Linked DNA regions of Arabidopsis thaliana. The protein of the gene in region 1 interacts with the protein of each later gene in a pairwise test. Each region holds a gene or a part of one and is shown on either strand. Other genes may lie near its edges.

Region 1 (8,442 bases):
ATACTTTGCTTTATCATGCTCCGGCAACAGTAGAAGATCCTCTATGTTTATGTTTCCATACTCATCAAGCGGTTTATGTTTCCATGTTTTTAATCTTTTTACCATGGATTCATATGCATATGTTTCAAATTCTATGTTTGTAACCTAAACTATTTTTCATTAACTATGAAATATTTACAATTTAGAAAAAAAAAATGTTAAGTAGATAATAGGATTAGGAGATCTGTGCCGCGCGCGTGAGAGGAAGATCCTTTTTCCTTGATCTGATGAAAAGGAAGTGTTGAGTTTTGAGAAACGGAAAGTGTTGAGTTTTGTCTTTTCTATAGAAGATTTTTGTTTTCCTGTTTTATCTATAAATAAGCCTCTTAAATCTCTTCATCAACAATGACTTGTCTGCAATTACAAGAATGTCGAAAAAGCAACGTTGCTTGATGATGGAATCGCTGCCCCACGAGGTCGTAGAGTGCATCCTAGAGAGACTTGATGCGGATCCTCTGCTGAGATTCAAGGCTGTATCGAAACAATGGAAATCAACTATTGAATCTCCATTCTTCCAGCGAAGACAGTTCACACAGCGTCAGCAATCAGGTAATCCAGATGTTCTCATGGTCTCCCGTTGTGCTGATATTAATTCGGAAATAGAAGCTCTTACTACATTGGTGTTGGGTTCATCATCATCTGTCAAGATCCCTACTCCTTGGGAGGAGGAGGAGGAGGAGGACAAAGAATACTCTGTTTCCCAGGATAGCTGTGACGGTCTCGTTTGTCTCTTCGATAAATTCAAATCCGGTTTTGTGTTCAATCCCGCCACTAGATGGTATCACCCTCTTCCTCTCTGCCAATTACAACAACTCCTTATTGCCATAGGCGACGGTTTCTACGATCTTGGATACAGAGTCTCTAGGCTTGGATTCGGTAAAGACAAACTCACAGGCACATACAAGCCCGTTTGGTTATACAACTCTATAGAAATTGGCCTAGAAAACGCTACTACATGCGAGGTTTTCGACTTTAGCACCAACGCTTGGAGGTATGTTTCACCAGCTGCTCCTTATAGGATTGTTGGTTGCCCCGCACCTGTCTGCGTAGATGGGTCGCTTCATTGGTTCACCGAGTGCGAGGAAACCAAAATTCTTTCGTTCGATCTTCACACCGAAACCTTTCAAGTTGTCTCTAAAGCTCCCTTTGCCAATGTAGATGGATTCGATATAGTCATGTGCAACCTCGACAACCGCTTGTGCGTTTCCGAGATGAAGCTGCCCAACCAAGTGATATGGTCATTCAATTCAGGTAACAAGACATGGCACAAAATGTGTTCCATTAATCTGGATATAACTTCTCGTTGGTTTGGTCCTACTCAAGTATGCGCCGTCTTGCCACTAGCACTTTTGGATGGGAAGAAGAAGAAGAAGAAAAAGTTGTTGTTTTATTGTCGTGTACGAAAACGAACAATGGTGGTACATGATGACGAAACCAAATCATATGATGTTGCTTTCGAGGCTGACTCCATCGGTCATCCTGTCTGTTATTTCCCGAGTTTAATATCTATTTCATAAAGCTTCTTTCACCATCCGTTTGTTTGTCCAAGTTTGCAACTCTTAAAGCTGCCTATGATTATGTTTCAGATTCTTGTTTTATGTAAGAAGGGCTTGTTTCAACATGTACCAACAATTTTTGTCGTGCTTTTTTATGCGCTTGTTATGCTTCTAATTTATCTCACACAGTCGGATGATGTCGTTTTTCCTTGCATACTTTCAGTGACCACAATATGCTCTAGAATCTTTAAGGCACCTTATAGGTTTCTCAACGATAGCCCAAACTAGGATCTTGTTGCTATAAACTCCCCGAAAACAAAGTCTTAAATCTATGTATCTATTCAAATTCTGAAGAAATGTTAAAGAAATTGAAACAAGGTAACGAATCTCTCCGAAACCACCAATCAAATAACTCAAACAACTATCTGAAGCTTCCAATGACTTTGTTCTGTAATTCAATTGAAATAATCTCCTTTTACATGGCATCAGAATCAGAGCCATAATCAATAAATAATTGAGAAGGAGATTACATTTTCATAAGCACCATTATTAGTTTATTACACACTGGTCAATGGTGAATCTCTTTGTTGTCTAATAGTTTCCGACATTTGAATCTGAACCTTAAATCTCAAAACAAACTGATAATGAATGGTAGATAGACAAATGGAGAAATTTCAAAACTTAAAATGAAATAAACGTTTGGGGTTTAAAACTTAAATAAAGGTTACAATGATTGAGAAGGAGATTACAATTTCATAAACACCATTATTAGTTTATTACCCACTGGTTAATGGTCATCTCAGCTAACCAACAAAAATAAAGAATAAAGTTAATGACAAAATAAATTAATTCAAGAGTCCAAACGTTAGAACTTAGCAAACTCATGATCCTGCCCACAAGACCCATGCACTAGTGGTTTCTCTTGATCATATCTCTGTCTTAGCACGCTTGCTGTTGAAAGGGGACATGCTGGGGCTCAAACAAGGGCTCAAGCTCGGACTCGGACTCTCCTCCCTTAGTGTACCATTCAAAGCCGCTAACTCCTTCAGCTGTTCCCTCTTGTAGTGATCCATTGACTCGTCCTGTAGAGAGAGAAGAATCAAAACCATGTGAACAAAATAGACATGTTTGGACTTTTGTGATAAGAATGTACCATCGGCTTCAGGAGTGATTCCAGGAAATGCACTGCATGCTCCAATCGAGAGTTTATTATGTCTTCTGGAAGCTCGGCCTCGATCAGTACATGTAGTGGCTCGCAGAGATGCTCGTACCCTGGCTTACCTTTTAATTTTTCCTCCTGCAGGGAAGTAAAGAACTAAATGGATAAGCTTTCACACCGCATGGTAGATTGTCAGAGAATATATAAGAGTCAGAAAAAAATGAATTTCAAAACTTTCTCTATTTACTTCTGATGATGTAAGAACCTAAAACTTTAACAGTTTATTTCTTATACAGGCTGCCAAAATTTACATATCTTCAAATGTAAACAAGAGTAGTAGCTGCTGATGCAGTAAAAAATGTATCATTACTTCAACAATAAGCTTGATATGCTAAAAGACGTAAGCTTATACACAAAAGGAAAACAAATTGCTCCTAAAGGCCGGAAGAAAATTGTGCGTATTCAAAACATGGTTATAAAACTGATTAACAGGTAAAAACATGACATAAAGTGAAGTTTTGAACTGTAAGAATAAAACAGAGACAAAATGGAATCCTTCAGAGAATTAATAAACAAGGAGCCATACCTTGACAGTATCCTTCACAGATCCTCGTCCTCTGATAAACACCCTGCAGTGGGTTGCTAGCTCAACTCTTTTTAGGGAGTTTCCACGTGGCCCAAGAATCCTCCCAACAAAATTATACTGCAACGCTCAATGGATTTAAACTCTAGAACAATCCAATTATAATAACCTATTTGGGTAAAGATTTAAGACATACGCTTGGATATTTATCCACTGGGACATCAAGTCTAATCACTTTTTTCACAATGGGTGGGTTAGGGAGTCCCGGCATCCCAATCCAGCCCACTGGGGAAGGACCGCGAAATGGAGAAGCTCTCTGGAGGTGACAGTTTTCCTGAAGAAAGCAAAAGCAATCAATATCGGTAAAGCCCACTCTTGATTATAAAAATTATTAGTATCACCATTACAATTCAACATGAATCAGTTAATTGACTACAACTATCAGCAGTGGCTTACCTCGGCTTGCATCATCGACCATCCCTCTAAATCAAGCTTTCCATTTGTCGGCTGACCAAGCGATCTAAATGGACTGCCATGCTCATATCTATCAAGATCAGGAAAACTAGAGACCCTCCTGATTTCTGCACAGACGTCAGCAATGTTGGCAGTTAAGCAAACGTATAAAAGAAACTGTAAGAGTTATACATCAGGGGCATCTTCAGTCTCTTATCTTTAATGCCAATAATGAAACAAAAGGCTCGGGTTCTAATAGGTTAGAATGATGAAAACTTCAAACACATCTTTGTCTTTTAAGGTTCACACATCCCTTAAGGGCATGATGGACAACTAAAAGCTAGGTAAACAAGTCTGGAAACAAGCTTCTAATCACCATATGCATATTTACGGACAAATAGGCTTCCTAGTATAAATTAGTTGGTGATCATTTGCTTAACGATCATTATCATTTGCAAACACATAGACTTAATTCATTTTCACATAACATAACTCATCAAGGATGATCATTTAGCAATAAGTTGCAATTAAAAACTGTTTCTAAATGCTAAAAGTAACATAGACTTTGATTGGCTATATATATATTAAGAAGGCCATAACAAAGAGAATAAAAAGTTGCATGTAGATACATTTTTGTTACTCAACTATCCTTACCCAATTTCTGTAAACCTTTAACTGGAAAAAAGCCAGGGTGATGCGCACTAAGGCTTTGTTCACGTGGGAAATTTCTTAAGTTCGTGTGCACACACTCTAAGGAAATACTAAATTCAAAATCACATAGCTTAATAAGATAGCTCACCATGATTAAGCAGTCTGCAGCAATTTGGCATAACTTGCAAAAAGGGACCCAACTTTTGTCTCTCTTGCAATAATTCAGTCAAGTACCTGCACAAGGTTAAGAACAAAAAAAACTTAAGTTTCAGTGGATGTTGCGTGTGAATCGAGTGGGTGACATTGGAATCAGCACTCAGTCACATGTAAACTAAGCTTCTAAAAATACATCAGTACGTTCATTTCTAAAACATTGATAAAATATAGCTATCTTGTTAAAATCCTTAAGAGTACATTGTATAGAATCCAATAATAAGTGAGCTAATTGTGAAAAAGGCGACATGTTGAGGTGAGAGAGTATGATCGAGAATTTGGATCTGTGTAAGCAGTTCATGAAAATACAAACTTGACAGAATCATTTTTAAACACTGATCCAATCAAAGGCAACAATACCCACCAATCACAAAGAGACACACTTGAAGTTGTGCTAAAGCAACAAGTCCAGAAGAAGAAACGGGTCCACAACAATCAAGCTAACACAGATTCACAAATAGCAAAAAGGTTGAGAAAGAAGAGAGAAAATAGAAACCTTTCACGATCAGAGGGAGGACAAGGGGATCGATTAGGAGAAGCACGGAATCCAGAAAGAGGATACTGGAAGAAACTTCCAGGAGAGATCCTCTCTTCCATGGCCACGAAACCAGCGCCAGATTCCATCATCTTTAACACTGTAAATCCACTTAGAAAGTCAGATTGTGCATAAAGTAGAGATAAAGAAAAACAGAGAAAAACAAGTTGTGACCGGAGATAGTGAAGAGGAGAAGCGGCGGAGGATCTGACGCCGATCTCAAGGATGAGAAAGGTGTCTTGAAGTAGGTGTGGACTGTGTAGAGTGGCCACAGAGGAAGAAGAAGAAGTAGGCAAAGTAGGGAGGGAGTCAAAAGCCCTACTCACGATGAGAGACTCCTCCTCTCTCTCTCATCTCATTTTCGATATTTTCTATTTTTGTGTTTAGTTTTTTATTCTCTAGAGATTCTGTCATCTTCTTCTTAAAAGGTTCTTTGCGTTTTCATTATTATTGGGCTTCAGGTCACTAATAATGGGCCTACCTTCCCTCAGGGACATTGTAGCCTACTTCCAATCCGTGTAAACTAAAAAAATGAAGATGATGGATTCGAGCCCTTCCGAGGCAATATAACTATTCTTTAATGGGCTTAATTTTTTTTGTTTTGCTTTAGACAACAAAACACATTGGGCCGGGCCTGGTCTACCTAGTACCTTTCTTATGCATCTAATTCATTTGATCCTCAACATGCCAAATATTTATTATTTTATTTATCTCTACGAACTCTTGAAAGGTCATCATCATTCACTTGATTGCATTTGCCTATATTTTTAGTGGGAACGTAGTTAGTGATGTCCCCTGAGCGATGATGTCACCTCAGTGATGTAATGGATGATTTATTTTACTTAAAAATTCTAAAAAGTAAAAACAATGGACGAAAACAAGAATTCCGTCTATAGTGAATCAGTTAGAATATCTGAACGGTGATTTCCATGTTCCACTACTTTAATTTATTTTCTATAAATTATAATTACATTTTACACCAAACGCAGTTTACACACATACTGTATATGATAGATGCAGTCACATATACACTAAGGAAGCTAGTTACTCAAGCCGTGATTTATATACAACTTGGAAGCAAAGAAATAAGATGCTGCATAATTCACAACACATTTGCGCCTACTTCTATCTTCAAGATCCTTGATCGTCTTCCTTGTTTGTATCCTAAATCTTAGCTATTGTTCATGTAAATCATAATTTTCATTAATAGGATATTTACCTATTACTTAGCAACAAAAAAAAACGGCCGGGTTAAATGGTGTAGTTGGAAGTTGGCTACTATAAGAAATGGAAAAAATAATAAAACGCAACTTAATGAAGATTCTGCCGTTTTGCCAATGAGAAATAAAGAAGAAACAGCATAAATCTTTGTTCCCCTTTTTAATTCTTTATCCTAGGGTTCCCTTCTTTCTATGCTTTCTGTTTGTTAGCTGTTCTACACATGTATACTTTTAATTTGCAGCCAACATGAAACTTCTCCTTTGTCAGCACTCAGCCTTACGGAACAACATGTAACCCTAAACAAAATTCTACATGACCTAGGGGATTTGAAACATCCCAAGAAATTTCAGTATATTAGGTAAATGGTATTATTCTACTAGAATATATGTAGTATTTACTTTATCAAATGTATACATAAAAAGGTTTTCATTAACAATCACAGCCCAAAAAAAAAAAAAAAAAAAAAAATCCATTTCTTGGGATGTTTCAAATCCCCTAGGTCATGTAGAGTTTTGTTTAGGGGTACATGTTGTTCCGTAAGGCTGAGTGCTGACAAAGGAGAAGTTTCATGTTTGCTGCAAATTAAAAGTATACATGTTGTAGTACAACTACCAAAAAGAAAGACCTAAAACCAAAGAAGAAAACGGATAGAAGTTCGACATTGGGGAAAAATGTGGGTAGTAGCTAGTAGGTGGTGGTGAGAACAACAATGAGGATCCAGAGACAAGAAAAAACCAAGAAAAAAAGAAAAGTGAGGTCTGCTTCTGCTTTCTCTCTCCGCGCACGTGCGCCAAAAACGCTTTTCTACGATCTTGTATTAACTGTTTGGGATTGTGACTTTTCTTCCTCCTCTGTCCAATTTTTGGAATAATCAAATTCTGGGTCCGCCACTGCATTTACGCATGTTAACTCAAGAAAGTTAATGACAAAGTTCCTAACGACGCCTTCCCTCCAGTAATATCGATAAACCTAACATTAACAATGTACCTAAACCCTCCCAAATCCCAATATCATATACTATAAATTAAGCTCTTGCTAAACATCTTAGTAACCATTGTTCCATATTACATTACAAAACTTGTCTTCTGTCCAAACAAAATTGTATAAGAGTGGAACAAAGTCTAACCAACTTCTCTTCATTGCTCACGCTCACAACTAAAGGAAATTAAACAACATGAAAAGGAGTAGTAGTAATAGGAAGATCCAAGTGTTCATCAATTTCCGGGGAGAGGAGCTACGCTGCAGCTTTGTGAGCCACCTCGTTGACGCTTTTAAAAGACATGGAATCAACTTCTTCATAGACAAAGACGAACAAAAAGGGAAAGACCTCAAACATCTCTTTGCAAGGATCAAGCAATCGAGGATGGCTCTCACCATATTTTCCAAAAGATACGCAGAGTCAAGCTGGTGCCTGGACGAGCTTGCAAGGATCAAGAAAAGAGCCGATAAATGCAAGCTACGAGTGGTTCCTATCTTCTTTAAAGTGAAGGCAGAGTCTGTTAGATATCAAAAGGCTGAGTTTGGTCGCAACTTCTGGAGGTTGGCTAAGACTTCGAGTGGAGAACAAATCAAGAAATGGAAGGAAGCTTTAGAGTCTGTTTCTGACAAGGTGGGCTTAACGTTAGGCGACAAAAGGTACCTTAGCTTACTCATCATCCCTAATCTAATATTGCGACATTTTTCAGTTGTCGGTTTCCCTTTTGGTTGTCGTTAACAGAACAAACAAATGGGTCCAGATGTACATAAATGGCTAAAGATGTAAGAGTTGAAAACGATGACTTGGCTTATTTCTTTGTAGTCGTTAACAAAATATGATTTCTTCACTGATTCAATAACTTTCACCTTTGTAATAAATAACACTTCATTCTGTGAAACTATTGAGGCTGAACTACTTTTCAAATACTTTGCAGCTCCGAGGCGGATTTCATAAAGGAAATTGTTGGAGAGGTCAAAAAGAGTAGTCGTCGCCGTTGAGGAAATGGGAGATTGATCCTCTTACATAAACAGACTAAAATCGTTAATGTAGCCAAGCTGACCAAATCCAGCTAAAGAAACATTTTATCAATAGTTTTGTTTATATCTCATTTCCATT
Region 2 (7,559 bases), on another chromosome or scaffold:
GACCTGACTCGTAAAACTTTTTTGCCTGTTATAAAACCATATCATTCTACTGTTACACCATAAATTTTTATACATAATGTAAAGATCACAAGAAGATACTCACAAGCTCTGAATAGTTTCTCAGATTTGGTATACACTATGCTTATCAAAATTGAGATTTGAACAGTTAAGTTTAAGGAACTTTCCCAGTTTCAATATTTAGTATTATATGCAACTAACTCCCTAAAGCTTTCACCGCTTCTGATTAAGATGTAAAAAATCTGGATAGAATATTGATATGATGAAAATTGACACCATAGAAGCATAACAAAGCTGAATGTTTGTACCTTTTCCCTGCCACTTGATGTAAACGCATGAACATCACCAACTAATTTCAGAGCCTTCGCGGATTGAGGCATTGCATTCATTGCTTCCCTGGCGGTATACAATGCTTCTTTGGTTTTACCAAATGCAAGATAAGAATGGACTAAGCCTGAAATGACCTCAATAGCGCAAGTTAATTACACACTCCAACCTTTTCATGATTGTTAAAGGTTTATACCACCAAAACAGTACAACAGTGGAAGTGTATATCAGATCTTTTTCCCTCGTGAACCAGACCTTGATATGAACGAAGATCGGACCTCAAATTCTGGGCAGCCCTGAAGGCGATCGCTGCAGCTTCTGGTCGTTTTGCTTGTAAAAGTAGATTTCCCTGACGTCTTAACAAATTAGTGGATATATATATATATGCAAACTTACTAAAAATAAATAAACTCCTCGTTGAACTAGCTTACCTTCATTATGTAGCCGGGTATGTGCCTCTCGTCTACCCTGATACTCTGATTGCATAGTGTATGTCATGAGCTATCACACAAAGATTTTGGCACAAAAATTCAGTGTCAGAAAAAAGCTAACCTTCTCAGCATAAGATAATGCCGTCCTTGCATCTTTCCTTTCCCATAGTACAGACAAAGCAACAAATACTTCTGCTCTGGTATGATCAACGCTTAATAAATCGTGGACGAGCTTGTTTAGCCTGGAATAATCACACTTAATCTGAAGCAGCATCGCATACTCATCCATACTGGTTAGTGTGTAAGGATCAATTGACCGAACCTATAAAAGCTTTTAGATGATTATGCATGAATTAAAGAAGTTGAGAATTGAGAAAAAAATATCCATGTGGTGACTACCTTCTCAAATCTCATTATGGCCTCATCATTTTTCCCAATAATGGCTTCAACCTATACAAATGAAATAAATGTCAATCAGCGTCAGTCATGATAAAATGAAAAATTCAGGTGAAATTCTGTTTGCATCGTAGTCGATGTCATCCCTAACCTTTGCTGTCTCAGTCAACAAGTGTACATTATTTGGAAATCGTTGTAAGAGTTCAGCAAAGAGTTCCAGCGCCCCTGAGTAACAAAAAAATATTACACCATATCCAGTAAAGCAAGCATCAGATTGCAGAATTTCCCACAAATAAAATGCAAGAAATGAAATCTACAAGGTTAAAAAAAAAGAACTAAATGCCTTATTTCATCCATTGTAGGCATAGGCATCCCAAAAAGAAAAGAGAGCTACCTTTGTAAGCATGCGAAGCAACACAACACTGGGCCTCTACATAACGCTGTGAAAACAAAGAAAAATTACCGAAAAAGACAAAGAAGAAAATAGATTTTATTGCCAGGTATGCTACAACATGAAACCAATGAAACATCCATCCAAGAAAAGTTATGTGGAGTATTAGTTTCCTGGTTAAATAGTCGAGCTTCTACTAACACAAGAACATCAAAGCACTACTTTGTTAAAGGGAATAATACTATTAAGACGATTTATTCACTTTCCACACATGAACAGCTTGAAGACAGAATTCTTAGAATCATTATATATGAAGTCGTATTCGGGGGAAAATAGTTGATAAAATAAGATTCTAACTCACGTACAATAATCAGCTTGGCGGCATGATTAATGAGTGTACTTTCAAACAATTTTCAACGTTGTAAATCCTGTTAAAGAGTAAGCTTACTTGCAACCAGCGGGTAGGATCTATCTGATCGAGTGAAACCTTTGCACTTCTATTTGAAGTCTGAAATGAACAAATGACACAACAAATTACAAAGTTGTATGGATTTCACACAGAAAAGGTAATTGCAAAATAGAGAGAAAGAGGTGCAAAACACATTTGAAGAAGTGGTGAAAGAAATCTCGTAGAAAGGGACACCTGAGTAAACGATGATATGATATCCTTTGCACTAACTCCCAGTTCAGCTAAACCTATGACGGCTTCAAGTACATAAGGACACTGCCTGCAGAGATTAAAGATTATATATATGTTTACTATGTGTTGAATTGGTATTTAACGTAAAAAGTGAGATATTATAACAGTGTTTCTATGCTAGGAAATGTTGGGAAAGAAAACGAAAAACAGACCTTAAACACTCTTTATAAAAAGCAATAGCACCACGGTTGTATCCAGAATTTCGATGAAGCTTTGCCATCAGTATATTCATCTCTAAGCTCCTGGTCTTGACAGATTCCATCTGGCAAAGAAATAACAAGTGCAAAAATAGATTATAGCTAAGCAGACCATGGCTTTATCATCCCTAATACCTACATGCAGTGTTGGAAGGAATCCAATTAGTTTACTTGTTTTGTAATATGGATTTGCATTGATGGGAGCAGGTCAACGCAACAAAATTCAACTCACATTCAGGAATACTATAACAATGCATTAGTTACGGCCCAAGAATGTTTCACTGAAATTACAGTTACTTAACTCTGGTTATAAAATACAATAGCAAGACATAAAAGTCATCCTATACAAAACCAATCTATAATCTTAGAAATAGAGAAATCCCTAGACAGCTCTTTTACCGTCTCATACACACATATTTTATTTTCTATATACCAAAGTTTCTAGACCAACAAATCCAGAAGACTAAATAAATCTTGAAAACCAGACAAACAGATGACACTCATACCTCAGCAATCGCAGCTTTTGTTTCATTAAGAGCAAAGTGAGATGAAGCAATCTTGAATCTCACCTAAAAGGAAAGTTAGAAAAAGAAGATGCACATGAACTCCAATGAAATTAAACCAAACCACATCACTTTCTGGAAACTGCAACACAGTTATTTACCTCGTTCTCATTAATAGCAGAAATGCTGGAGGCATTCACAGATGATCTGGTAGATAAAGATAATGAACTCCTCGAAATACCGGAGCTTTGCTTCGGAATCCTTGTGTAATGATGCAACGCTTGCTTGTACGTATGCTGACAAAAAGAAGGAATACATATTCAGAATTTCGAGATGACTTCAAAGTAATCCACAGGAAAAGAATAAGCAATACAAATATAAAACTTATCTCTGCTCACTCCATAAATTCATATAATCAGAATCTTTACAATTTTATCATAATCCAGTCAAATTCAAGTTCCGAGAATGATTTATAGAGTTCAAATTTGAGGCAGAACTAAACTATCGAGAACTGAGTAACATTTCCTTCACAGCAAAAGAGAAACATAAAGAATGAAACTTTTGAGAACTTACAATAGCTCTCCGGTGTTCTCTCTGATGAAATAAAGCATCACCCAGTAGAATCTGATTAAAAAACACAGAAAGAATCTAACTTCAATCTAACGGACTCAGCAGCTACTAAAATAGAAAATATCGACGGAGAAAGAAGCTTAACCAAATTCTCCGCCTTGAGCTGAGGACTAGTTTCGGCACTAACAGTAGGAGAAGAAACGAGAAAGCAGCCCTGGATTTAGTTGCATATATAGAGAGAATTTCATTAGCTCTTGATGAAAACTAGGGATTTAGAAAAAAAGAGATAGACAATCAAAATGAGCTAAAAGCTAGAGAAGTTACGAGCATTTCAGCAGAATCGTAAAGCCCATGCTCTATTAAAGTCGCGATCTGCTCCTTTGGAACCTCCATTTCAGAGACAAGAGAGTTCGTCGTTAGTGGCAATGGTGAAGTTTTTTCTTCGGAGCAGCGATGAAGTAAAAGATCCTTCACGCTCGCTCTTCATTTTGAAACAAGAAATCTCGAACCGAGTCAACCCAAACCGACATTAACCGGTTATCTATCTGAAATCCATCTCGGTTCATTAAAACCCGACTTTTCCAAGAGCCCGACTTCACCGAACAATCTCTATCTCCGGTCATGCCTCCATTACCGTCCTCCACGGCGCCTTCGTCTTCGAGACATCTTCGATCGCCGGAAAGTATCGCGAAATTTGCAGGGAGAGCAATATTTCCTGCTTTACAGGGGAAATCGTGTCCGATATGCCTCGAAAATCTAACCGAGCGAAGATCCGCCGCCGTGATCACGGTGTGCAAGCACGGATACTGCCTTGCTTGTATTCGGAAGTGGAGCAGCTTCAAGAGGAATTGTCCTCTTTGTAACACTCGTTTTGATTCCTGGTTTATCGTTAGTGATTTTGCTTCTAGAAAATACCATAAGGAGCAATTACCAATTCTTCGTGATCGTGAGACTTTAACTTATCATCGGAATAATCCTTCCGATCGCCGGAGGTTATCTCTCTCTCTAAGATCCTCTCTATGAAGTTAAAAATCACTTCTTTATTATATTCACTTGGTTATTATTTCATTAGGATAATTCAAAGGTCGAGGGATGTTTTGGAAAACTCTAGCTCAAGATCAAGGCCATTGCCATGGCGGAGATCATTTGGACGACCAGGTTCAGTTCCTGATTCTGTTATCTTCCAGCGAAAGCTTCAGTGGCGAGCTAGGTTGGTTTACTATTGATTCTAACTCTATAGCTTCATTTGCAATCTCCTTTTTCGAAGTGTTAGATTAGTTCGCCGTTGTTTCTAACTAGTGTTGGCTCTAAATACAGCATATACACTAAGCAATTACGAGCTGTTCGATTACATTCAAGGCGCTTGGAACTAGTAAGTTTCATTATACAATGTGTTCTTCTCTGTTTGATGTTTGTAGTATTGGGGTTTACACTCTTACATTATTGGATATATGTTCACATTGGAAGCCTTATATATACCTGCTTCGTTGTGTCATCTTGGATTATTGTAGAGTTTGGCGGTGAATGATTACACCAAAGCAAAGATAACTGAAAGAATTGAGCCATGGATTAGAAGAGAGCTTCAGGCAGTCCTTGGAGATCCTGATCCCTCAGTTATTGTTCATTTTGCGTCAGCTCTTTTCATCAAAAGGCTTGAGAGAGAGAATAATCGACAAACCGGGCAGACCGGGATGTTGGTGGAAGATGAAGTCTCCTCTCTTCGAAAATTCTTGTCTGATAAGGTGGATATATTTTGGCATGAACTAAGGTAAGATTTTTATACGCTAGGGTTTTTTCAGAGTTTCAAGTAGTTACAGGTTTAGTATAGTAGTACAGAAAACACATAGGCAACCTAAACCTAGTGACTTGTAAGTCTGAACAGATGATAGAGCTGATATCTGTTTGGTTTAGGTTTTTTGGTCATATACTATTTCTGATGAGAAAGAAAACATTTTTCAGATGTTTTGCGGAGAGTATACTCACGATGGAGACTTATGATGCAGTGGTTGAATACAATGAGGTGGAGTAATAGCAGTAAAAAAAACAGGTAAAGAAATTAGGATATGTATTATGTGGGTTTGGTTTCACTAAGTAGGAACCTGTTTTGCTTCGATGGTTTTTTTTCTGAAGTCATTATGTTGTATTCGCTTGCAGATAACCGAGCACTATGCTCTCGTCAAATGAAGTAAATAGACAGACTTACAACGCGACTGTTGGTGTCTTGGAAGTTCAATAGTGGAAAGACTGGACCAAGTAAGAGAAACCAAGAGTTAAAGAGTAGGTAGGAGGAAGATGTTGAGATGATGCAAGTTTAGGTGTGGAGTTAGTTTTGAGATAGCTATAGGTGGATTCTCAAATAGCTGACACTTAGTCTCTCTACTTCCATAATGTACGTCTCTTCTATACCAAAAATTCTCACCCCCAAAGTTTCTTTCCAACGCTTTTCCTCACCTCATCATTTTTTCTTACGTTTCGAGTACCACCTATTTCAACAACATTAAATATTTTCTATAATTTGACTATCAATTTTTAATAAATTAAAACTATACATAGTTTTAGATAAATTACACGAAGCTTCCATAGAAGAGGAAAGTTCATTTGAATTTCTCTTCTAAACCGTACCTTAAAGATTAAATGGTGAATATACACGGGGAAATTTTTTTAATAAACAACGCGTTCTCTATTAAGGTATTGATTGATATAAGTAAGCAAGCGGGTGTAACACAAAATAAAATATTATAAAAGGCTTCTTCTATAGGTTGGTAAGCGGCAATCCAGCTGCCATTGCCTATTTGACTTCCCCCATTCGATCATGGTGAGCTCGTCTTCTCTCTTCTCCTCTTATCTCTTTCTCTACCATTTTCTTTTGCTTTAAAGCTCTCTCAATCATGATCATGAAGACCCCCATCACAGCATTCCATTCATCCTCATGAATAATTCTACATCAGGTTTCTTCTCTTTCCCTTTCTGATTCTCAACACTCTTACCACATTTCTACTTTTGTGTTGTATATCGATTTTTGTTCTACATTCTTCCAAATGTCAGGGAATCTAGTTGAAATGTGATGATTTTTGTGTTGATAACTTGATATCTGGTATGGATTGAATGATTGGTGATTATCTCTGTTAATTCATCTCTGATCGTGTTTCTGTTTGTGTTGACTTGGAATGTGGACCTGGTTTGGATAGTGAAGAGGCTGGTTTCATCTAAGGCAATGAAATGTTTCTACTTCAGCAAAGACAAAACTCAGGATGATGAAGCTAAGACTAGAAAGTTTGGTTCAGCTACGATGGCTAGAGGAGGATCAGGGTCTGAGTTTAATTCAGATACAAGTACTGCTACTTCCATTACTTCTTCCTTGCACGTCCTCTCAGAGACACACAGTAATAATCTCAAAGTATTTGTCCTCGATGACCTTAAAACCGCTACCAAGAACTTCAGCCGCTCCTTGATGATCGGTGAAGGTGGCTTTGGTGGTGTCTTTCGTGGCGTGATTCAGAACCCTCAAGATTCTCGTAAAAAGATTGATATTGCAGTTAAACAACTTAGTAGAAGAGGTCTACAGGCAAGCAAATCTTTTTCTCTCTCTTTAGTTTGCTTCTGTTTTACACAACCTCCTTCAGTACCCAACAATAAAAACAACTACGTATGCATTAACAGGGGCATAAAGAATGGGTGACAGAGGTAAATGTATTGGGAGTAGTGGAGCATCCGAATCTGGTGAAGCTGATCGGTTATTGCGCTGAGGATGATGAGAGAGGGATCCAACGGCTACTTGTTTACGAATACGTACAAAACAGAAGTGTTCAAGACCATTTATCCAATCGTTTTATAGTCACTCCTCTTCCTTGGTCCACCAGACTGAAGATTGCTCAAGACACTGCTAGAGGACTCGCTTATCTTCATCAAGGCATGGAGTTTCAGGTATCTTCTCCATCCATGATCACAAATGCCTTTAAACCTTTTTCATATGTTCTTGAAACTATACTCATCTTATATGCAGATCATCTTTAGGGATTTCAAATC
Region 3 (7,412 bases), on another chromosome or scaffold:
AAGAATGTTGGTCTATGAAAATTGGCTAACAAAAAAATATACGTAGATATACAAATATAAAGTTCGTAAAATGTGTAGTTTTTTTGTTATGAAATTTTTAAAAACAATATGAATTCTGAGAATAATGAATGATGTTTAATCTGTGATAATTGAATTTTGAGAGATTTTTTTGTTTTAATTGAATAACACAAAACTTTTACAAACTTTTAAAAATTATGATTGAATAACAACATATTTTACATGACACTTTTAAGTCACAAAAACTCTTTTAAAATCATAAACCAATAACATCCTCTAAGTTTAGAATTTTTAAAGGATTTTTAAAAGCATCCTTTTTTTAGTACAAAAAAATAAACATACCATTTATAATAGTTTTAAAAGAAAAAATGGGTACGAGTGCATGAATCATGCTTTTCTCCTCCACCCATTTGGACTAGGCATGAACCCAATCCTATGAATATGATTTTGGTGTGTGTTAATTTAATAGATATATTACAAAATTTAATTATAATTACATGAATAATGATAATGAATGTGGGGCATCATTGCATGAATAAGCCCTAACATCGGTGATATCGACCATCAACGCTGTAGAAAGTGGTACAAGGCTGGAGTCCGTTTTGTGATCTGTTCACTAATTATCCGTCCAGAAGACCTTGTAACTGTAATAGTCAACATGGCGTTTTTTGCAGCTGAGAATGCACTCATATGACTCAAAGATTCTATCTGTCAAATCCTGACATGTAAATGTCCTGCATCAGGCGTTGCCCCTCCTCATAAAGAATTTGCAGAGGATATATGCGAAAAGAATATGTCCTGCAATCTCTTTCTTGTGATCACAAATACCTGCAGCAAGAACAAAAAATTGAGGCCGGAAATTAAGAGATACACCATATTTTCTGATCAGCTAGGAAGATGGGATATCCCTGTTTCGGATAATTTGACTTTTATTCCACTTGCATGCAACGAGTACGAGAATGACATTGTCTCTAGTCAATCTGAGGCGACTCTCTATCCTCCTAATAGACAATTCATGAGAGGTACAAATACAATCAAATCAAAGTGAGTTTGAATAAACAAAACAAGAATCTGAAACCAAGTTTCAATTCTGTCTGTTGATACAACAACTATCTAGTATCTACACAGACAAACTAAATCTCTATTTCAACATCAAATGTGAGTTTTTATATTCGAACAAATTCAATACAAAACAAAATATAAGATAATAATAGTTCATTAGTTCTAAAAAAAGAAATATAAGATAAACTACAGAAACAAATCCAACTGTAATGTCATAGTTCATAAAAATAATAATATTTGATGAACTATTTTATCCATTTAGATAAATTACAAATTGCATCATCCCAAATTTTTTTATATCTTAACAATCAAATCTATACGGCCATAATTTAAGATATAAAGACAATTCACTCATGTTAATTGCAAAACAAATATCTTGTTTGTAACTAAAAAAAAAAGACAATTTCTGTTTTGCTATATTTGATTAACATACACTACACTTTTTTTTTCTTTGGTTCAAAAGGCACTCTTAAAAGTCTCTAACACCAAATATTATTAAAAAAAAATCTGTAACACCAAATATTATTGTTATTTTTTTTACAATATGATTACTTAGTCGGAAGAATGATGATCTTGACTATAGGACCTCCTATGATGATGGGAAGGCAAGTGTTTATGACGTTTGCGAGATCGGTCTTCTTCAGAACGTTTTGATCTTTTGCTGCCAGAAACTTCACCCTTGTTGTCACCATATCGATCTTCCATACCTCGTGCTCTCTCTTTTCTATCAGAACGGGACTCTTCCCTGGAACACTCCTCTCTGTCTTTGCTGCGTCTTCTATGAGAACTGTGTGTGTGTGCGCTCGACCTGTGACTGTGATATGACCTAAGGCTGCTTCGCTCTTTAAACTCTTCTTCCCGTTCTACAGAACTCTTTTCCCGATAATATTCTTCCTCTCTATCCGACACACTTCCTTTTCTCCTTGGAGGTGATGGGATCTGCATCCAACAAGTAAGTTGTGGTACCAAGATTTTAGTTTACAAACTATCAGCTTTCCACTAGACACATTGAACAACCCATTTAATATATTATTTCTAGCAGAAGAACATTAACAAATGACCCAATAAGATAGCACCAGAGACAGAACAGGGGTAAAGTTCAAATGACTATAGAGTGGTGGTGAAGTTCAAGACATGGTAGACCTGTGTGCGCGACATATATCTTCCCTCAGGCGGAAGCTGAATACCGAGCTTTTTCAAATCTTCATGAGGGATTGGTCGTCTGATATTAACAAATAGAAAGAATGCCCATTTCATGACCACTATGTTTAGCTGGTGTTATCTCTGGACATGCTAAAGGAAGAGTAAAGCAAAACCATACAAGGGAGCACGGAATGGTCTATCTCGTCCTCCAAAGCGAAGTTGTCCGGATTCTTTCCTACCACCAAGGCCACCTCCTGTTAAGAGAGAAATAGATTTCATCTGTAAGGGATGAAAATATAACGCCTATGACATTTCATTACAGACAAAAATAAAGGTAAAGAATGGCAAACCTAGTCTTCTTGGTATCCATCCAGGCATCAATTGCTGTCTATTATAATCAACAATAATCTCTCGCCCATCTATTAGTGAATGATGAGCATCCTGCTAAAGAAACACCAAAAAAATTCTCACTCTGATAAACAAACTCCACTAGTTTCCAGTAATTACACGGAGATGTTAATGAAACAATCACATTGCGGTGCCTTAGTAAGTGGTTCAGACAGCTTTCAACAACAAAAACAAGAGGTAAAAAGAAAATGCAATTTAGTATCACAGCACCTCATAAGCACGAAGCATCTCCTTTTCAGTCTCATACTCCACAAAACCATATCCTCGTGAAGCTCCCGTCACTAAAAAAAGGTAACAAGAAGAGGAGACTCAATACTACACAATGTGGAACTTAGAGGAAATATGTAATCACAGTTCTGCTTAGACAAATATCTTGGTAGAAAGTAACAAACCATCAGAAATAGAAAGATGATAAATTTCCTAAAGATAAAGCAAAGTGTTGATGTCATAAGTAGAGCAATTGCAAAATCTTACCAATGTGTCTTACCAAGCGCAAGTTCTTAATCCTGCCATACTTACTCATCACCTACGAAGAAGAAACTTTTATAATCATATTCAAAACATAGTCTACACGAAAATCAAAAACTAAGTGAAATTTCAATCATTAACCTCTCGAAGTGTATCCTCCGTAGTGTGATGAGAGAGACGACCCACGAAGAGAGTACAGTAAGGATCTCCAACAGCCTTCGAATCACCAGAAGGATCATCTTTCAAAACAACCCAAATCAATGTATTTGAATTCAGAAACCAAACGATAAAAGTGAAAAGAGGAGCAGAGAGAACGAGAGAGTATACATACATAAGCCAGCGTTATAACAGAGAAGAGCTCGACGGACGCCGTTATCATGTGGAGCAACATCAGTTCCGTCGATACTTCCGGCTTGAATCGGATGATACGACGTCGCGTAGAACACTTTGTTCACGACGTTGTTTCCTCCGCCGCTCATTTCTTCTCCCCCGACTCTCTCTCTCTCACGGCGGCTCCGGCTGTTTAAGGAAATAAAGAATAACGTCGTCGTTTGAATTGATTACTATTAAAAAGCCCAACATATAAATTGGGCTTATTACAGCCCAGTTAAAGATATATGATATTCTCGTAGGTCCCACACGAAGGCGGAAACTCCAACGGTGGCTGCTTTGGGTTAGGTGAATCACTCACTGAAGAGTGAAAAGCTCTAGCACAAACCAAACACCAAATCTCATTTCTTCTTCTTCTTCTTTTTCCACATTTTCTGATTAGCAGATCAAATGATGCTTGTTCGATCTGTATTTCGATCTCAGTTGCGACCCTCTGTCTCGGGTGGTCTGCAATCTGCTTCTTGCTATTCTTCATTATCTGCTGCTTCAGCTGAAGCTGAGAGGACTATCAGAGAAGGTCCCAGAAACGATTGGAGTAGAGATGAAATCAAGTCTGTTTATGATTCTCCTCTTCTTGACCTCCTCTTCCATGGAGTAATTTACCCTTCTTCTTCTCTCTCTCTCTCTCTCTCTCTCTCTCTCACTTACTCTTCTCTTTGTTGTTCTAGCTACTCTAAATCACAAATTTGAAGTAGAAAGCTTTGGGTTTCTGTTAAATTATTGGTGGAAAGTATCGATTTTTAGTTTAACCCAGAACATGTTTGTTCTCTTTGAAACATTTGTCTTAATTTCCCGGATTTTAGTGTCTTTGTAATGTCTATTGAGCTAGGTATTATTCATTTGGTTGCTCATCTGATCTCGTTATCAGTTGTCTTTTACTTGAATAACGATGGTGTGTGGACTCTTTGGGTTTCAGGCTCAGGTTCATAGACATGTTCATAACTTCAGGGAGGTACAACAATGTACCCTCCTCTCCATAAAGACTGGTGGCTGTAGTGAAGACTGTTCATATTGTCCTCAGTCTTCGAGATATAGCACTGGAGTTAAGGCACAAAGACTCATGTCTAAGGACGCTGTCATTGATGCTGCTAAGAAGGTTTGCACTTTTCTTGTGAATGTTTATTTTTGCTGAATGTAGAATCCTTAGCAGAATGTATCAAGAAGAAGGGGACATGCATTACTATGTACCAAAACGTTGTTTTTATCAATCCGAGCTCTATCTCTATCCAAAAGACTCTAATTGTTTAATGAAGCATTTTGACGATGTAATGAGCTCTTCTGATTTGAATTAACAAATTTGATGTGTTGTTAGGCAAAAGAAGCTGGGAGCACACGTTTTTGCATGGGTGCTGCTTGGCGAGATACAATTGGACGGAAAACCAACTTCAGCCAGATTCTTGAATACATCAAAGAAATAAGGTACCTTACTATTATGCTTTTTAAGTTGAACTTTGAATTTCCTTGTTTATACTACATTATATGATCCCTTTTTCAGCTGCTTCTGAATCTAAGCTAACTTAAAAGATAACCCACCGAACCGATCATTAATGGTTCTAGAATGAACATTTTTGCATGTCAAACTAAAGTGAAAATTTCAAAGTGTACTTGATGTATCCGTGAGCAGAATGAATATGATGTTGATGATGGTGTCTGGCTGAATGTGTTTACTAACTTTCTGGGCTCTCACTTTAAAACAGAGGCATGGGGATGGAAGTTTGCTGCACCTTAGGCATGATTGAGAAACAACAAGCACTAGAGCTAAAGAAGGCTGGCCTCACTGCTTATAACCACAATCTTGATACTTCAAGAGAGTACTACCCAAACGTCATCACTACTAGAAGTTATGACGATCGCCTTGAAACTCTTAGCCATGTTCGTGATGCTGGAATCAACGTTTGTTCAGGTAACTTTGATATGAAAATAGTATTCTTGTATGCCTCAATTCTATAGAACTAAAGGATTGAAACCTGTCTTCAGCTTGGTCATTAGACTCACAGTTTTGTAATATTCGTTGATTTTGATAAATCCATAGATACGACATGTTCTCAAGTGTTTTCTTTTACCGATAAACAGGAGGAATCATAGGGCTTGGTGAGGCAGAGGAAGACAGAATAGGTTTATTACACACGCTGGCAACACTTCCTTCTCACCCTGAGAGTGTTCCCATTAATGCTCTACTTGCAGTGAAAGGCACTCCTCTTGAAGACCAGAAGGTATATCTCCACAATCTAAAATCACAAATTGCAAGTCATAGCAGCTACTTAGTAGGAAATGGCTTTGAGAACCGTTTGTGTTTTTGCAGCCAGTTGAGATATGGGAGATGATCAGGATGATTGGAACCGCACGTATTGTAATGCCAAAAGCGATGGTGAGACTGTCTGCTGGTAGAGTCCGGTTCTCAATGTCCGAACAAGCTCTCTGTTTCCTTGCTGGTGCAAACTCTATCTTCACCGGAGAGAAGCTTTTAACCACACCAAACAATGATTTTGACGCTGACCAGCTCATGTTCAAGACATTAGGCCTCATTCCTAAACCGCCAAGTTTCTCTGAAGATGATTCTGAATCAGAAAACTGCGAGAAAGTTGCTTCCGCTTCTCACTAATATCATTATCCACTTTTTTTTTTTGTTTGGAGTCGGGACACTATAGAGCAGTCCCTTTTACTATGTAGCATGGTTTGACGATTTTGTGATATCATTTTTCGTTAATCGTTATTCGAAGATGTCTAGATTTCTCATCTGAAAGTAAACTTATTATTCTAGAGTGTCATGAAAATTGAAGAGAAAAGTTGCAATTAAATCTCTCAAGGCTGAGATGGGCTTTAAATTAGGCGTAAACTTATCAACTAGATTTTGGCCCATGTTAAGCCCATTAAAGCTTCAAACACTATCCAAGTCAACAAGCTTGTTCTGTTCTGTTCTGACTTCTGAGATCGTCTTGTTCACCAAAGAGAAGAAGACTAACTGTGTTTTTTTTTTCTTTCCTCGATGCCTAGATCAAGCAGATGGGTCAATCAGCGAGCTACCTCTAAGATTAAAAAATTTATACTCTTTTTGGGTGTAGCCTTTGTCTTCTACCTCTACAGATACCCTTCTTCGCCATCGACGGTGGAACAATCATCCACTTCCATCTACAACATTTCCGTTAAGGTATAATCAGCTTAAACTAGGAACTTTAGAAGCCAATTTTTCACACTCTAGGTTGATCCGCGTCTATATTTAGTCCTGATTCTGAAGAATCATTCTAATTGCTGATGTTTATTTATGAAAATTTTATGTTTTAATGCGAATTTAGCTAAGATAATGAATCTAGACGAGTGCCTTTATTTTAAGGACTAGTTACTAATGCAACTGTTTAGTGTTAGATGGGGAAATGACTTTGTTTTGTGTGTCTGTGTGTGTTTTAAGTGAATCTTTCAATGACTATATGCCCCTTAAGTTCATCTTTATAGTAACGAGTTCTACTAGTTTATTTATCATAACTCATAACTCCGTATCAATTTCTCAAATTGAAAATGTAGGATATTGAAGGGAAAGATGTGAGTTTGAGCAAGTTTACCGGGAAAGTGCTTCTTATAGTCAATGTAGCCTCTAAGTGGTATGTTACTAAGTACTTAATTGTTCTTACTTATTGCATATAATGTCACATTACATTGGCGTTATATATAAAATCTTGTTGTGATGAATGAGCAGTGGTCTAACACATGGAAACTACAAAGAAATGAACATTCTGTATGCCAAGTACAAAACTCAGGGTGTGTCTCTTTATCTCGCTGTGCCTTTCTCAGGTTATTAACAAGTTGAAATTTTTTATAAGTATTAAAGGAAGTATCGTTTCACGCAGGGTTTGAGATCTTAGCATTTCCTTGCAACCAATTTGGTAGTCAAGAGCCAGGCAGCAACATGGAGATCAAGGAAACCGTTT
Region 4 (7,309 bases), on another chromosome or scaffold:
AAACCATTCCTTCTTCAACACTTTAAGCCGAGGATCCTCATCCGTGTCATTGCTTATCTAACACATTATGTTGCCAAACGAATCCAAAATCAGATACTAAACCAAAAGATGAGCAGACTATGAAGGAATTTGAAAATATACTACGAAACTCACTCGGTAGCCATAGTAGTTTCTGTAATTTCCGAAGGGATAAACTTCTTGATTCTTCTTCTTCTTGCTTTGATTACAATTTCCTTGTTGTCCTTGTTGTTGCTTCTGCTTCTGCTGTGTTGGGACTTTCTCTTCATTAGCAACTACTTTCTCAACACTCTTCTCATTCTCATTACTTCTGTTTCTCTTCTTCTTATTCTTCTTCTGATCGTTGTCCCGACCCATTTTTTTCTCACACGCGTTGATGAACAAAGCTCGCGAAGTTAGGGTTTCTTCTATGTTATCGCTATCAGCTAGATTCTTAGAATCGAAACAAAACGATTAAGTCTAAACAGAGAGATTCGACGAAGCTAGCTCCTAGAGAGGTTTTTCTTCGAGGTTAAGCGGCGCAGAGCGAGGAGGAAGAAGAAGAAGAAGAACCGAACCGCCTTTGAAAGTCCAAAAGGGTTTAACGAGTCTCATATTTAAGTAATCCTCTCTTTTTTAGTTAATACATTCTTTAAACCTATTTATGTAAATATACGAAAGTTTCCTTTTCTTTCACCGACGTGGCCAAATTAATCTTAGAGAATTAACTTTTGTTTTTTTTTGGTCAATATGCATCAAATCTAGAACAATGGAAGCTTGCGAGTTATTGTGAAATCGTGACTCGTGTTTGAAGATAATAAAAACAAAGGAACTCATCAAAATGTTGCACTTGTCATCAAATATTGTACAGAAAATCTAGAATATAATTCCCCTCTCTCTTCTGCCATACAATTCTTCAACTCATCTCTGTTAATCGAAACAACTGCAGCGTCCGATGAACCGTGTTGATGATGATAAGCTTTCCCGAAAACGGAGAAGCAGCTGCTACTTTTTTAACACCAATTTGCCTAATCAGTACGGTCTGTAGCGCATAGGCCGTCTGAACCTGGGAACTCTCCTGCACAAACCATCAACCATTGTCAATTTTATGAACAACCATGATGAATCAAACAAATGGACTTTAAAAGAGAGGATAGGCAGGTAAGGTTCTAGAACACACCCATAAGCATATGGAGGATAAAATGGAACTCCTGGCATGAATCCCCTCATCGGTCTAAAGGGACGCCCTCTTCCTCGAAATTGCCTCATTCCAGGTACATTAGTCCTCTTTGCAGATACCTGAAAATAGATTAAACAAAGTTTAGTAATGACAAATCGTAATATGGAAAATAATTAACTACATCGTATTGAACGAGTTTGCACCTTTATCTGACGACCATGTAGTTCTGACTCGTTCAAAATAAGCGAATTCTGAACAGCTTCTACTTCCACAAATTCGACATACGCAAAACCTTTAGGTTGACCAAACTTATCTGTCAGAATTGTAACCCTATTCACTGTCCCACATGATTGAAAATGCTGCTGGACTTCCTCTGGAGTACATGCATAGTCCACCTAATATACACAAAAAAACAAAGACACAGGATATCTAAAGAATCAGCTTCACAGATGGGAGATATGAAGGCTTTCTGAAATATGAAGGAAAGTTAGTTTAGCAATTACTAGAGATAAAGAAATAAACAACAAGCAGCCTCCAAATTTCATTGATACCAAAGCAATAAAACACACAAACTTTCTTTAAAAAAGATACAAACATATATGAGAAACATGTGAAAATTAATGGTGGAACAAGCCTCACATTGCCAACATATATTGAACGCGAATCCACTTCTTCCTTCTCAGCCGCACTAACACCACCTGAAGGGTCTTCATTGATATGCAACAACATAAAAGGTATTGACCCAATTAGCTAACTGACAAGACTCCACAATACTATTAATGATTTCCTTCTCATACTCAAACTCCAGTAAATTTCTAGACAGATTCATTGATTCACTAAAAGATTCCAATATGTAAACCCAAAGCAATATCATAATCAACAAGACAAGCTTTAAACCTAATCTATCAATTTAAAGGTTAATGTGAAGCTGCGCACAAAGATTCAAGATTTTACGTATCAGTTAATAAGTACAAACCTTGACTAGCACCCATATCTTTCTCAGCCTTGGCTTGCATTTCACGCAAAGCTCCAGCTTCTTCCTCAATCTCCTTAATTCGTTTCTTCATATCCTCCAAGTCCTATCAAACAATCAAAGCAAATAACAGACTAAATACAGTAAAAAATAAGAAGAGTCTCAATTGGATAAAAGTAAATTATAGATCGAAGAATCACAATACCCTAGAGCTAGAGCCAGGTTCAAGCTCCTCATCTCCGGCGGCGGCACCTTCTTCTCCGCCGTGTTCTTCGTACTCTTCCGTATCCATCTCACCTTCTTCCTCTTCTGGGATCTCTCCACCGTACACCTCATGCTCTTGCTCATCGTGCACCGGCATCTTTCTCTCTCTATATCTCTCACTCGGCGACTGTCGTTAAAGCGAGAAACAGAAGTCTCGGAATTTTAGGGCTTGAAATCGGGAAAGAAGGGAAGGTTTGTTTGTAATTAAAGATACCCAAAAAGGATACTTTCGGAATTATGAAATCTTAAGTAGATTCACCAAAAGTGGACACAAAAGTACAATCAAACCCAATGGGCTTCTCAGATTAAAACGTGACGTGTAAAGTCGGTCCCACGAAAGTTTATTGTGGTTCCCATTAGTCATTAGTGATTACGTGGCACCTCACCCATTTAACTCAGTCCAGTGGTCTGAAAATCGTTTCGCTCTCTAAAAACCAAAACTCTTATCTTCGGTACAGAGCAAATCACAGCTCCCGATGGCCGCCACGTCATCATCACCGCCGTGTAACATCTCCGCGTCCTCCCTCCTCCTCCGTCAACCTTCTCGCTCAATCCTTAAAGTGTTCGGTTTATTACCACCTGTAAGTAGGAATAACCGTAAACTCGGCCGGTTAACGGTGACCCGGTCTAATCTGGCGCAGGATTTTCTTGGTGACTTCGGAGCTCGTGACCCTTACCCGGAGGAGATAGCGAGTCAATTCGGAGATAAAGTGTTGGGATGCCAAAGCACTGAGCACAAGATTTTGATACCAAACGCATCTGTTTTGTCTCTCTCCCAGCTTCAGTGTTCCCCTGTTTCGTCTTCACAGCCTCCTTTGTCCGGCGATGATGCCAGAACTCTCCTCCACAAGGTACTTATACTATTTCTCTCTTAGTATAAAAATGTTCGAGTTTTGATTTTACAAGTTTGTTGGTTGATCAAAATATTGTGAAAATGTTATTGATTCTGCGTTTAACAGATTTCTAATCTATAAAGATAGAATTGTGACCCAAAAATATAGAAAAGCCAATGAAAATTTTAGTATCATGAGGGACATATTAGGAACAATGGTTACGAGATTAAAAAAAAATGAAATGATTAGTGTTGATAAGGCTCATGTTGGTGTTTTGGTTCACGGTTACCACTCTAATGATGTGGTACATCAATCTCAATGATTATTATGTAAACGTTTTAGGTTTTGGGATGGAGTATAGTGGATAATGAAGCGGGTGGTCTGAAAATAAGGTGTATGTGGAAAGTGAGGGATTTTGGGTGCGGTGTTGAACTCATAAACAGGATCCATAAGGTTGCTGAAGCTTCTGGTCATTACCCTTCTCTTCACTTGGAAAGTCCTACCCAAGTTCGAGCTGAACTATTTACCTCTTCTATCGGTATGTCAAATATTTGATGTTCGAGTTTGAGTTTTAATATATGGTTTCTTAAGACGGTTTGTTGGATGAATAATGCAGGAGGGTTGAGCATGAATGATTTCATAATGGCGGCTAAAATAGATGATATCAAGACTTCTGATCTTTCCCCTAGGAAAAGAGCTTGGGCGTGATCTTCTTTTCATTATTTTGGAACATTTTTGTTTGATAGTATGTAATGTATGTGATGTATTCTAAATTGTGTGTGATCGGTCTACATGTCGAGTTATATAGAAAGCATTGTCATAACCGCATAAGAGATATCACGCAACATGTCTTTGAGATTCATTCATCAATCAAAAGAAGAAAGAACATCAATCATATGGAGCACAATATAAGAAATGAGACATTATTATTAGATTAAGACATTATTATTATCATTTCTTCTTCTAGAACATTCTGGGACTAACAAAAAATTCGAAAAAACACAACTACATTTTTGCATTCTAATAGGCGGTGGTGGTTGGAGGACTAGCCATTTTGGAGCATTGGTGTTTCATCATAGGAGGGAAAAACGGGTTGGATGGAAGATTTGGTAAGCAGTTAGCTTCAGCGTCAAGGAAAGCTTTACAACAAGCAGGACCAACGCCTTCAAATTTGCCGGACATTACGGCTTGTTGAATCTCTTCAAAGCATCCCGGCAAATCCATCACTGTTGACCAACATTTGCTCAAGTCGGGACTTCCTGCCATACCGGGACTTGGTTTGAACGGATTTGGAAACGGGAACATGATTGGGGGAAACTGCGGTAGCTGAGCATTAACGGAGGCTGCGATGCATACAACTACTAGGAGAGAAACAACACTCTTGATCGACATGATGAATATTTGGGGGACTATGCAACAAGAGAAATAGATGACTTGAGTTTTGTTTGATGAGATAAAGTTATTGGCTATGAGATCCAATTTATACTGTAATTAGTTTGGCGAAACGTATTTTTAAAAGTTGCTTTCAAAATCAAATTTGTCGTTTTAATTTTGGAAGAAAATCAAAAATAGTCAAAACGTTTGATGCACATTGAATTTGATGCTGTCATATTTCTCATATGTAAAGAAATAAATCTTTCCTAACAATATGATAGGAAATAATACAAAGATGACAGAAGGGAAGCAGTAACAAATTTTAAGTCTCTTTCGTCTTTATTCATCTTGATATATATCATCTCCTAATTTTTTTTTTGAGATTTTATTTACATTCATAGCAAGAAAAAGAAAAAAATCTTTTCAATTTAGGAATTGTTTTTCTTCCAACTTTTTGGAATCCTCTATATAGTAAAAGATGTGGCAAGCCCATAATTGTTCTCATCATTTTTATTTTTCATTTATTGAATATAATATACTCATTGTCAAACACTATTAATTCCACTATCCTTATCCTTATCCTTATTATTTTTTAAACCAAACATATTTTAATATTAAATACACCATCCAAAAATAATATTTTCGGATTTCTAAATATTTAGCTTATAGAAAGATTTCTTATTTATCAAATAAATTAATTTAATCAAATTTAAATTTACTATTTCCCAAATTACTAAAAACTTAACTTTTAAAATTAAAACATTAAATTATATAGCCCATATTTTTATCCTATAAATTTCATGCAGTATACTATATAGTGTCTATCTATTCAACACAATCATAGTTTTTTCCTATAATTTGATTTAAAAAAAATCATTCTCCTCTATACATAAGAGAGTCTTTAGTGTTTAGGATATAATCCCACAATTTTTCTCAAGTATTTTTTTCTTTAATTCTACTATATATCATTATTACCAAACATTTTTAATTGCAAATACTATTTATCTTATTTTCTTAAAACTAATTTTTAAACACTCATAAAAGATTTTTAATATATAAATTTACCATTTTAATAAAAGTAAATAGTATAAAATTTACGGCAATAATTAGATAAAATTTGTTACCATTTAAATTTGAAGATATGTTTGACCCTATATGAATCTCACATATGTTCTCAAACATTTGGATTTTAGAATAAACTAGAAATGGTTTCATACGTTAAACAACTTTGTATTGGTTCTAGTTTCACTTATTTCCGTTGTCTCATCATATGCAATTGCAAGATTCAATACAAAGGTTACAGAAAGTGAAATCAACGTCATATGAACAAACAAAGATGTCAATGCATCATTTTGCTTTGAGTTCTTGAAATCATCCTCTCAAATTGCAACACTAGATGTCTGGTCTAGCCAAATTGAAATCATCATTTTGTTTTATATGGATTTTTGTTTAAAAACGAAATTAAAAATCGTAAAATTAAACCAAATAATTTATATTTTGCTTTCGATTTATGAATGAAATCAAACAACAGAAAATAGCAAGAAACAATTTTTTATTTTGATTTTCGATTTGACAAAAATTAAAACAATAAAAACTGAAGTCGTGTAAGATCTGACTCCTCCACCAAGATCTGACTCTAAGCACATTGTTTAAAAGCATCAAACCATATAATTTGTATTTAAACCACATATACAACATAATTAATCATATATATAAATCCACACTTTAATACCAAATTATAACTGAAATCATAAATATCATGTATTAATTTTTTTCATTCACTCAATGTCATTTAAACACACAATTATTATAATTTTAATCTTTTATTTTTGAACTACACTTATTTTTACAGGAACAAAAACAAATATAATTCAATTGAAATTAGTATTTTAACACTAACCAAAAAGGAAATAAATTTGACTATGAGATAAGAAGGCGGGCTTAGTTATATAATAGCAAGAAAGAATCTGTATATTTGTTGAATCAAAAATAATCAGTAACGCTTTGAGTGAAGATGATGAATGTTGCAGTGACAGCCACTCCCTCGTCTCTCTTGTACTCTCCTCTGCTTCTTCCTTCTCAAGGTCTCTCCTTTTTCTATCTTACTCTCTCGCTTACTATGAACACTTGGGGGGTTTTAAATGGGTTTAGTTGGTGAATTACAGGGCCAAACCGGCGAATGCAATGGAAAAGAAACGGAAAGGTTTGTTTTTGAAACTTCTCTTTTATCTCCTCCAAGTTTGAATTAGCTGATGAATTCTACAAGGAACTCTTTTTTGGGTTGTAACATGAACAATGAACCATGTAGGGAAAGTGTTTGATGAAATGCTTCAATGAAACTCTTACTTGTTTTGTTTTGAACTTGAATTCAAAAACACACTCTTTGGTGTGTTTTCATTTTGCAGAGACGGTTAGGGACAAAGGTGGCTGTTTCCGGTGTTATCACAGCTGGATTTGAGCTGAAGCCACCTCCATATCCTCTTGTATGTTTTCGTGAACTCGTTATCAATAGAGTTGGAAACGAGTAGATTAAAAAGACCCAGCTTTTAGGTTGAATTTTGGTTGATATATAACCTTATCATTGGATCAGATTTTGTTTATTTGGTTCTAATAGTACGATAGTGATATATATAAGGCTGTGAAGGTTGATGGTTACTCTAATATTCAAGCTATCTGTTTAAAGATGAA

Evidence for each region.
Region 2: the proteins of AT1G09660 (region 1) and AT2G39100 interact in a two-hybrid assay, tested with the Arabidopsis thaliana proteins (one large-scale study listed by BioGRID).
Region 3: the proteins of AT1G09660 (region 1) and AT2G43370 interact in a two-hybrid assay, tested with the Arabidopsis thaliana proteins (one large-scale study listed by BioGRID).
Region 4: the proteins of AT1G09660 (region 1) and AT5G51110 interact in a two-hybrid assay, tested with the Arabidopsis thaliana proteins (one large-scale study listed by BioGRID).

Annotation. Positions count from the first base shown.
Region 1 is NC_003070.9:3,125,571-3,134,012, forward strand, and holds AT1G09660 (RNA-binding KH domain-containing protein), read right to left. Parts: upstream 5,525-8,442; 5' UTR 5,304-5,524; exon of another isoform or gene 5,230-5,303; 5' UTR 5,222-5,229; coding exon 5,091-5,221; intron 4,616-5,090; coding exon 4,530-4,615; intron 3,859-4,529; coding exon 3,734-3,858; intron 3,612-3,733; coding exon 3,474-3,611; intron 3,398-3,473; coding exon 3,281-3,397; intron 2,833-3,280; coding exon 2,689-2,832; coding exon of another isoform or gene 2,635-2,688; exon of another isoform or gene 2,618-2,634; coding exon 2,462-2,617; 3' UTR 2,192-2,461; downstream 1-2,191. Other genes in the region: AT1G09650 (F-box and associated interaction domains-containing protein), read left to right, coding at 408-1,556; AT1G09665 (Toll-Interleukin-Resistance (TIR) domain family protein), read left to right, coding at 7,525-7,985, 8,068-8,104.
Region 2 is NC_003071.7:16,313,308-16,320,866, forward strand, and holds AT2G39100 (RING/U-box superfamily protein), read left to right. Parts: upstream 1-4,048; 5' UTR 4,049-4,154; coding exon 4,155-4,525; intron 4,526-4,605; coding exon 4,606-4,743; intron 4,744-4,850; coding exon 4,851-4,905; intron 4,906-5,044; coding exon 5,045-5,301; intron 5,302-5,492; coding exon 5,493-5,562; 3' UTR 5,563-5,580; intron 5,581-5,687; 3' UTR 5,688-6,080; downstream 6,081-7,559. Other genes in the region: APC7 (tetratricopeptide repeat (TPR)-containing protein), read right to left, coding at 1-25, 327-472, 601-694, 777-821, 898-1,098, 1,176-1,226, 1,324-1,397, 1,567-1,612 and 8 more; AT2G39110 (Protein kinase superfamily protein), read left to right, coding at 6,463-6,481, 6,722-7,098, 7,194-7,457, 7,537-7,559.
Region 3 is NC_003071.7:18,009,597-18,017,008, reverse strand, and holds AT2G43370 (RNA-binding (RRM/RBD/RNP motifs) family protein), read right to left. Parts: upstream 3,742-7,412; 5' UTR 3,579-3,741; coding exon 3,431-3,578; intron 3,339-3,430; coding exon 3,241-3,338; intron 3,158-3,240; coding exon 3,106-3,157; intron 2,913-3,105; coding exon 2,842-2,912; intron 2,665-2,841; coding exon 2,574-2,664; intron 2,478-2,573; coding exon 2,402-2,477; intron 2,303-2,401; coding exon 2,224-2,302; intron 2,020-2,223; coding exon 1,633-2,019; 3' UTR 1,479-1,632; downstream 1-1,478. Other genes in the region: BIO2 (Radical SAM superfamily protein), read left to right, coding at 3,880-4,083, 4,406-4,585, 4,802-4,908, 5,187-5,392, 5,563-5,702, 5,792-6,091; GPX3 (glutathione peroxidase 3), read left to right, coding at 6,476-6,637, 7,009-7,085, 7,181-7,242, 7,332-7,412.
Region 4 is NC_003076.8:20,774,962-20,782,270, reverse strand, and holds AT5G51110 (Transcriptional coactivator/pterin dehydratase), read left to right. Parts: upstream 1-2,782; 5' UTR 2,783-2,890; coding exon 2,891-3,265; intron 3,266-3,589; coding exon 3,590-3,785; intron 3,786-3,863; coding exon 3,864-3,955; 3' UTR 3,956-4,267; coding exon of another isoform or gene 4,268-4,639; 3' UTR 4,640-4,770; downstream 4,771-7,309. Other genes in the region: AT5G51130 (S-adenosyl-L-methionine-dependent methyltransferases superfamily protein), read right to left, coding at 1-57, 154-375; PABN1 (polyadenylate-binding protein 1), read right to left, coding at 1,030-1,075, 1,178-1,296, 1,381-1,572, 1,817-1,875, 1,952-2,074, 2,154-2,256, 2,356-2,511; AT5G51105 (ECA1 gametogenesis family protein (DUF1278)), read right to left, coding at 4,268-4,639; FSD2 (Fe superoxide dismutase 2), read left to right, coding at 6,636-6,705, 6,787-6,824, 7,027-7,104. UniProt on the Arabidopsis thaliana protein: Involved in tetrahydrobiopterin biosynthesis. Interacts with and acts downstream of the E3 ubiquitin-protein ligase SDIR1 in abscisic acid (ABA) and salt stress signaling.